2 linked regions of the Arabidopsis thaliana genome follow. The protein of the gene in region 2 interacts with the protein of the main gene of each other region in a pairwise test. Each region holds a gene or a part of one and is shown on either strand. Other genes may lie near its edges.

Region 1 (5,073 bases), on a different chromosome or scaffold from region 2:
ATTCAGAGCATCATATTTTTCCTTTACACATTTTAAAAATCAAAATCCCTTGTAATACAAATTGAACCTAAAGCCAAAATGGGATCTTCAATCTTTTCAAAGGAACTATCTCTATTCTCTAGTTCCTGTTTTGCTATCAGAAGCAGGCTTAGATTTTGGTATTGAGATTAATTCAACACGAGGATCTTTCCCCTGAGAAAGTGCCTGTTTAGTAATTCTCTTGCAAGAAGCTTGAAAATCTTTTAACTAGCTTAACATTTTTCTTGTGCTTCTCGTTCTGCTCAATCGTTGCTTCGATTTCACTTCCATATATTACAATTTTCTGACTAAAGAAAGAAGCAAAGCAAAAAGGAAAGGTTTTGCTTTATACATTTCAAAAATCCATCTCCTTTAATACAAAATCAAACCTAAACCATGTAATAAACCTGAATACCAAAATGGGATCTCCACTGTTTTCTAAACCAAAACCTATAAAATAGCTAATTTCTTCCAAGGAACTATCTCTAGTAGCATTACTTATCTGGGACAAGATCATGTTGGATTCTCTAAGGCTTCTCTAAGAGAAGAAGCTGGTGATGAAGAAGAAAGACAAGACCGCGCGACTTTGTCTTTGCTATATGCTTTTTTAACGTCGTTCTTCAGCTCGTTATATCTCATCCTCTTCTGTCTTCTCTCTTTCACAGTGCCTTTCTCGGGATACGACATATCAGGGATTTCTTCGTCCATATACTGATCCATGTACTTATCCAGAACCTCATAACAAGATGGGAAGTATCTCCGACCTGTCTCAACTGCGTTGTTGAACGGTTTCGAATCAGTCAATCTTGTGGTCAGAGAATAAAACTTGAAAGTACATTTCCTTAAGCTTTTACCTGTTTTCATGAGGGCTTTCATACGTGTAAGCATTCTTTTCGTTTGCACATAAGGCGTTTCATTTAAATCGACTTTACCCAAGTTTTCAGTTGTATCATTTGATGGAGGTGGAGTTAGAAGACCTGTGCACTCGCTTGTCCCTTCAACATTAGCAACGTCCATAGCCACATTGGCTTCTGCTGGGAAGAACAACTGAGCAAGTCCCACTGCAATGACACATACAAGAATTCAATAAAGAGACATCAACCTTAAGCTATGAGAAATATATATATCGACTAGGTCAATACCTCGCTTTTCTAAGTATAACAACCTCATTTGGAGATCCTCGGGCATCGAATGGGAACAAGTGGGTGTATCCCCACTAACCAATGGATTCCTTCTAATTTCCCTTTCCAAGATATCGATGCATAAGCGGTATTTACTAGGTTCTTTCCTTGAGGTTTTGGTATGATAATCTTTCGGCCTAGTGAGTCTCCTACATATATTTACCGCACTGCGTCCATCAAACGTGAAATCTGAAGCATTAGCTCCTTTTTGAATAAGTGGTATGATAATTGTTGGCTCTCTACGCATAGCAGCAATATGAAGAACCGTATACCCCCTGGAATTTCTGAAATTAACATCAGCCATATCTAGATCAAGAACCTGTGTCACAACTTTCGGATCACTGTATGCCACTGCATAATGTAGACCATTGGCTTGGTCTAGAGTTATATCTGACTCAGTCAAAAGAAGCTTCACGAGTTCTACATCATCTGAATCCAATGCCTTGAGTACTTTCCCTGTTCTCTCTATCGATTTATCCTCCACCTCGGGTATGTTCACCGACTTAACTCGAAGCTGTTTGATTTTTTCCAATACTTCTAAAGGAAGCTCCTTTTCGATACAGAATCTGTCTAAGTCTGATCTCGCCACTCTCTCAATGCATTGATCAAGAAGCTGTGTCAAATCACAATGAAACGCAACTAAGAGGATAGGAAGAACATTCTCTACTAGTGACTTCTCAACATAGTTACGAAGCTTCCGCTGCAGACACAACAACACACAACATTACAGCCTTGACCAATCAAGAACAGATTATTTACCAGCAAAATCACAAAGAAACTTTATCTCAAACCTGAAATGACGAAACAAGATCCGGGATTTGGAACACAAATGAAGCATACATCAACTCAACAGCAAAATCAATGGCCGGTTTACAAGAATCATGAGCACAAACTGAATCAACACAAGTTGAAACCTCGATAGGAAAAGGCTTTAACCTCCCAGTGTAGATATAGCTCAAGAAATGCAGAAATGCCTCACGTCCCACATTTCCATATGGTAATAAATCTTTCATTTGATACTTAGGTTTCTTCTCACTACTATCTTTATCTTTCTTAAACAGATCAAGAAAAAACTTGCTCCTAGCAGCTAAAACACATCTATGAACACTCACAGGGTTAGCTTCTTCTTCAATGATGATCTCTGCGTCAGTGTAATCGCAATCTGGATTAGTGAGAAGCTGCTCCAAGTTAGAGCTGAGCTCTTCAAGATTAGCAGCTGAGTGATAAGTAGTAACAACAGGAGAAGGGTTTGATAAGTGAGAAGATGTGAAACTTATAGATGAAGATGGCTCTATTGCAGTTGCAGCCATTTTGTTCCCCAGAAGTATCACTCAAAGACTCTGTTTTTGATCTTCAAATCCCCAAGGATACAAAAACCCTAAATCTAAATCCAATGACAAGGATCAAATTTTGAGAAGTGATTGGATCAAAAACAATACAGAGAAGATCATAGATATGAAATTAATCAAGCCCTGAAGAAAAGATCCAAACTTTATGAAAGAACATTCTAATGAATCAATGTGAAGAACAAAGTCAATTCGAGAAATGCTTCAAAAAGTCAACGAAAATGGCGGATGAGAAAAAAAAACTAAATGAAACTTAAATCATAAGAGAAAGAACTGAATAGATGGGTAGTCTTCAAAATCATTGCACAAATGAAAAAGATTTCAAGAAGAAGAAGACAATCTCAGAACAGATGGGAGAAAAAAATCAGAGGTTTATCTAAAAGCTAAAGGTGAGAAATAAGAAGACTGACCAAATAGTAAAGTCTTTGGAGAATAGTAAAGAAAGAGCCAATTCCTAATCCAATCTCCTAAATTTTGTGACGACGATTCAAAAACCGTAAGCAATGTCGTCAGCAATTGAAGACGACTTGAGTTGTGGTGAAGTGGGTCTATGACGTCTTAAATAACGTCAGCTTTGAGAAATATACACAAAATGCTAAGTAGATTGATGATAAGTGGACCCTTTCTAATAAGGTCATAACTTATAAAATGGGTTATGTTATGTCTACACAAAAACTCAAGATAATGCAAGAGTAGATTGATGATAAGTGGACCCTTTTTAATGGGTTCTGTATTTTATTTGAAGAGCATGAATAATTGAATTTATCAAACTTTTTCTTTACTTGGTAGTTGGTATATATATGATGATGCTAACCAAGTTCATTTTGATTAGTTCTTCAACCAAATTTTGGTAGATTAAATATCATAACATAACACTGAATATAAAAGAGTGTTAATCTTTCTTGCAGGATTTGTAGAATGGAGATGAGCAAACTCTTCTTCTTATAATTGCAAATAGTTTCATCACAATTCGTTTGTTTGAGTTCATCAAGAATCTAAAACCCTCCCAACAATTACTTTCGAGAGTGAGATACTCTCGTTTGGCCTCTCTGAACCAAACCAAGCCGGATCCTCAAGGCTATTAAATTACAATTCTACTACTTTCACTGGCTATTATACTCTTCATAGTAATCATCACTTATAACAGACACAAACCTCTCAAGCCAAGGAAGCTGATGAAGATCTTTCATTGCGGCTTCAACATATGATGACTCTGTACATGGAGGCGGCGGTGACTGATAAGTAGTATGGTGATCACTGAGACTAAACCCTCCACCTGCTAAGAACCTTTGGATCAGAGCAAGCTGAGATCTTTCTTGCTCTGAGTACGCGTCCATTACAGTTGGAATTGAGTTAAATGTGTCCCAAGGCCATTGCTCAACTTCTTGAATTGTGTTTTCCTCTACTGCGTTTTCTTGTTCTTCTTCATCATCGTCCCAAAAAGCACACGTGCAAGTCTGTTGCCCTTCTCTGTACTCTGCTCCACACGAGTAGCAAAACTCATGCCCGCATCTGCGGAAAACACAGAGAGTTTTGACATTTATATGCGTAAGAATCGCAAAAGAAACACTTGCTCTAGAATACTAGATTTAAACGTAGGCGAGAAAAAAAAAACCTTAGAATCATATGGTTATTACGATACCGTGATTCTGCAGTTAAAGGGTCAAGACTAACTATATTTTATTGGAAGTCAAAAACCTAACTTTGGTGGTTCAAATATGTATAGATACGGAAAACAATGTGTAGCCATAGATATATATGTGTGTCTTACCGGCAAGTCATGTGGTTGCAGCCTTGAGCAAGCTCGATCATTATACGGCATTGCTGACACCGCCTCCACCTCTTATACCTTGCCAAGCGATGCAATGTAATATCATCTGGGTATCTTTCATCAACTGGAAGAATCTGAAACTCTTCACAGCTCATAGAAGCATGCCAAGGAACACCACAGTCCACACACACAAACCTCTCACAGACTGGACACTCCACACAGCAGCTATTCTCTGACTGAGTAGACGAGCTTGAGCTAGCCCTTCCTGATGATAGACATTCTTGCGGGTCTAACAGAAAAGAGCAATTGGGATATGGGCAGTAAATCTTCCCATTGTTTTTACTACACACATTTGCTTCCTCGAATGATTTGAAAGTAGTGACGGGAAGGAACGATTTGCATTCCGCTGCTGAGAGATAATGCTTGCATTGCACTTGAGGACACCTGATGGGAACCTCTGAAGTCTTTACTTTCCCTTCAACGTACGTTTTCATGCAGTGCGAACAGAATTTGTGAGTGCATTTCAATGATAGCATCATCTCAGACTGACGGTCTTCACAGCAGATCGAGCAGTTCTCGATCGGTTTATCCCCATCAAGATTAGAAGACACGATTCCTACCGCTACTTGAGCCAAGCTTAGAGCTTCATCAAGATCACAGAAAGGAGCAAGCTTTAGAACAAACCCATTAAGGTTACTTGTTTTCTCCAATACCCTTTCTCTCAGAGCTACTAAAAGAGGGATCTCGAGCTGCTCCT
Region 2 (3,936 bases):
GGCTTTGGTGCAATCGTACAAGCTTGCAAGGGTCTAAGACGGCTCTCTGTCTCCGGTCTCTTAACCGATCAAGTCTTTCTCTACATCGGTATGTACGCGGAACAGCTCGAGATGCTTTCGATAGCTTTTGCGGGGGACACTGACAAAGGAATGCTCTATGTGTTGAATGGATGCAAAAAAATGAGGAAGCTGGAGATAAGGGACAGTCCTTTTGGGAACGCTGCGCTTCTTGCTGACGTGGGTAGGTACGAAACAATGCGATCCCTTTGGATGTCGTCTTGTGAAGTAACACTCGGTGGCTGCAAGAGGCTCGCGCAGAATTCGCCACGGCTTAACGTAGAGATCATCAACGAGAATGAGAATAATGGGATGGAACAGAATGAAGAAGATGAAAGAGAGAAGGTTGATAAACTTTACCTCTACCGAACAGTGGTTGGGACTAGAAAAGATGCACCACCATATGTTAGGATTCTTTAGTCTCTTTGCACCTTCATGTGTTTTCAAACTTTTCTTTGTACTAGTTTTTGCCTTTTATCAAACTTGGAACAAATACAAATGTCGCATTTTATTATCACCGTAATTCAGCCATTGAAAACATAAATTTAGGTAAAATACCAATCACGTTTTCCAAATAATACAAATTACAATGACATCCACAAGAAACCTACTTGTCTAATCCATGCTCTGGATGAGTGCACTCTCAAACAAAGAGGTAAACATTAACAGACATTGACACACGATAGTACACAAGACATAGAGTGTTATGGCATATGTCTTCGATTAGACACATAATGCTGACAGTAAACGACGAGATCCACAGAGACTGGCGGCATTCTCAGAAGCAGCATTCCTCCAACAAACAGCAACAGCAAAGAGCAGCAAGACTGCAATTCGCAACCCACAAAAAAAAGGATTCCGTAATCGCAATTTGTAAGCAACATGATTAGGCTACTTGAGGTCAATCACAAATCTCTTACTAAAAGAAAAGCTGCAGATGATATAACATTTTATCTACAAACTTTATACTAAATATTATGGGGTTAAGAATGTAAAATAAAAGCCATTAGGTAGTTCTTAAGAGAGTCACTAGATCCATTGAAAAGTAAAAGATCCTGTCCAACAGATAAACATAAAAATGTGTCTATACATGGATAGCTCTAAACTCATCATAAAAAGACAAGAACCTTCCTTAGAAGATCAGCAAAGCACTCAGAGAACTAAATCTAAGGATTAATACGAATCTCTTGCTCTAAAATTTCGATAATTGGCCACCAAACAAAATGATAAAGAAGTCAAGTCAGGGTTCACAACGGAACTCTTGAGTTTCACATTATGGCTTATCCATAAATCAACTCAAAGGAATCTGGTTCTGATCAGGATCATAGTATTCCCAAATTCCATAAACCAAAACACTAGTTCAATGAACCCTGAGCATTAATCAGTGATCCAACATAAAAGCTAACAAGATTGACCAAAAAAAACACAGAGAATCGAATCAGTGCACTCACAACAATGAAAGTAAACGAAAATTAAAAGGCGGCAAGTGGTAGAGAAAGAAACGAACCAGCCACGGATGAAAGAGAAGCAACCAGAGTCAGAATCTTGGTAATGGTGATGATCATGATGGCAGTGGTCGTAATTTTGCGGCGGAGGAGGAGGTGGTGGTCCGTGATGCTGATGAGGATAACCTCCTCCGGCGAAGTAGCCTTGATAACCGCCTTCGTAAGGACGTGAAGACGGTGGTGGATATCCTCCGTAAGGCTGAGGTGGAGGATATCCTTCGTGATGCGACGGAGGAGAAGGATATCCCGGCGGTGGCGGTGCTGATGGATAACCCGGAGGTGGATAGTGAGATTGGTATCCTAATTCGTCCGATCAAAAACAGGATCTTAGTACTTTTAGAATAGATCAAAATAAGAGAATCAGAATTTAGAATCGAAGAGAAGAGAATCATAAGAAGGAGAAGTGATTACGAACGAACCTGGAGGAGGATACGATTCCGGTGGGACTCTGTCGTAGCTCATTTTTTTTTTGTCAAAATCAAATTTCACTTTTCGAATCAGAGAGTTTTTTTTTGAGATTATTGGAAAATATAAATATATTTTAAGTGCCAGGCTTTTCTTTTCATTTAAGTAAATTCACGTGTCACTAAAATCATGTTGCTCACGTTCTTATTGGATTTGGGCCGATAATAATTTTTATTTATTCGTTTGTTTGCTATTGGGCCTATCCACTTATTTGGTAAACATGAAATTCTATCCATCATTCAGAAAAACAGTGTTAAGAAGAATTATTTTTTCAAGTAAATGTTAGAAAAACGAGAGCTACAACTAATAAAGTTCCCATGCATATACTATTGCGCATGCATTTTGATCGCTAAACACAAACGCTTTGTTTTTTTTACGGCGAGAAGCAGTGGAACACAAAGGCAAAGCTATCATAAACACCCCCGCCAGTGACCCGGAACTCATTATCTGGCGGAGATTCCGATATCCGAGGGTAACTATTTCTCTTCTCTGGTGTCTTGCTTGAAGCTGAGCCAAACCTCATGCTTTTTCCGGCAACGGTGGCAGCTTTTTTCTCCAATCTCCGGCGGTTGATATACTCTTCCGATATAAAGACATCCATTTGATAAAAAGGGATTTAAGAAGTGGAAAACCTTTGAGGGTGTAATTTATGGAAATGATTATGAAATAAAGAGATATATGTTTTGATTCATAGTTTGTTGTTTGTTGAGCTAGGGAATTGAAGTGAAAGGCTGAAAGTACATATATTTTATAGATGGGGAAAAACTGTGGGCGTTAGGTTCCATGTTTTGGCACATATATTAACTAACTTATACATATTTATTTTAAATGTTTTCCATAAAAGTTTTTTTCCCCCCGTTATAGATGTGTACTCGTGTTGAATGCTATATGGTTATTAGTTTTGTGAAATAATTTAATAGATAACTAATTAGTAGAACCTAGTTTTCGTGGATTCGATGGATTCTCTTTTTGGTGCAACTTTTGGCTGAATACATATTAAAATAACTTTATTACATCACGTGTATGCATCATATGATGATGTGCATGATATTGGTAATCTCGAGATTCGAGAATCTATCTACTGAAGTATGTGAAAATACAAATAGTCATTATTTATAATTATATAAATTCCTCAAAAATCCAAACGAGGAGCCGTAAACTATGCAAGCCACAGATTATATCGAACGACAATTGTATGATGTTCTCAGCATGAAAACCGCTATAGAACGTAACGCCTATTTATACTTTCAGCTCTTTGTCCCTTTTCTCGTCTCACATGTGTTCGTCCTTGCTAAACTACACTTTTGCCACTGTACTAACATCGATTTATTGTATGGAACGAGAAGAATAAAATGGACTAATTCATAGTCGATATTTGACAATCAGTGGATTAACCAATTAATGTTCGTTAAAGTGCACGAGTTATTTGATGCATGCGTGAATTCAACTTATTTAAAACTTTAGGTAGAGCCGATATGCAAAACTATAACTCTAGCTAGTCCGTTTCCTTTTTCAATAAAAAAAAACTCTAGTCCCTTTTATGACGAACCCACAAAATCCAAACCCTAATCGATATCAAAATAAATAACAATGTTAAGTAAACTGAAACAATGAAATAGCCTCAGTGCATTAGATATTTAGATATATCAGTGTTTATCTATATATACAGATATAATAAACTTCTGCATACATAAAAAAACATGGATTATTTGGTAGAGTTTTCTTCTTTGAGTTTCTTTCCCATCCTTCTATTGGGCCAATTTTAGGCCCATGATAGCCCAATCTTACGCGTGTATGAAAAGATTTGACGTTAAAGCAAATTTCAAAAAACGACGTGTAGTTCATCTCTAAAACGAAACAACGGCAAGACGTTAAAATGCAATCTTTTTTTTGTAGTTGCTCCTTCATC

Evidence for each region.
Region 1: the proteins of AT1G12810 (region 2) and NPR4 interact in a two-hybrid assay, tested with the Arabidopsis thaliana proteins (one large-scale study listed by BioGRID).

The regions. Positions count from the first base shown.
Region 1 is NC_003075.7:10,695,735-10,700,807, forward strand, and holds NPR4 (NPR1-like protein 4), read right to left. Parts: upstream 3,059-5,073; 5' UTR 2,510-3,058; coding exon 1,991-2,509; intron 1,900-1,990; coding exon 1,161-1,899; intron 1,080-1,160; coding exon 532-1,079; downstream 1-531. Other genes in the region: AT4G19670 (RING/U-box superfamily protein), read right to left, coding at 3,649-4,057, 4,317-5,073. UniProt on the Arabidopsis thaliana protein: Salicylic acid (SA)-binding substrate-specific adapter of an E3 ubiquitin-protein ligase complex (CUL3-RBX1-BTB) which mediates the ubiquitination and subsequent proteasomal degradation of NPR1 in the absence of SA.
Region 2 is NC_003070.9:4,365,420-4,369,355, reverse strand, and holds AT1G12810 (proline-rich family protein), read right to left. Parts: upstream 2,101-3,936; 5' UTR 2,025-2,100; coding exon 1,982-2,024; intron 1,863-1,981; coding exon 1,565-1,862; exon of another isoform or gene 1,337-1,564; coding exon 1,238-1,336; exon of another isoform or gene 885-1,237; coding exon 836-884; 3' UTR 552-835; downstream 1-551. Other genes in the region: AFB3 (auxin signaling F-box 3), read left to right, coding at 1-477; AT1G12805 (nucleotide binding protein), read right to left, coding at 2,401-2,628.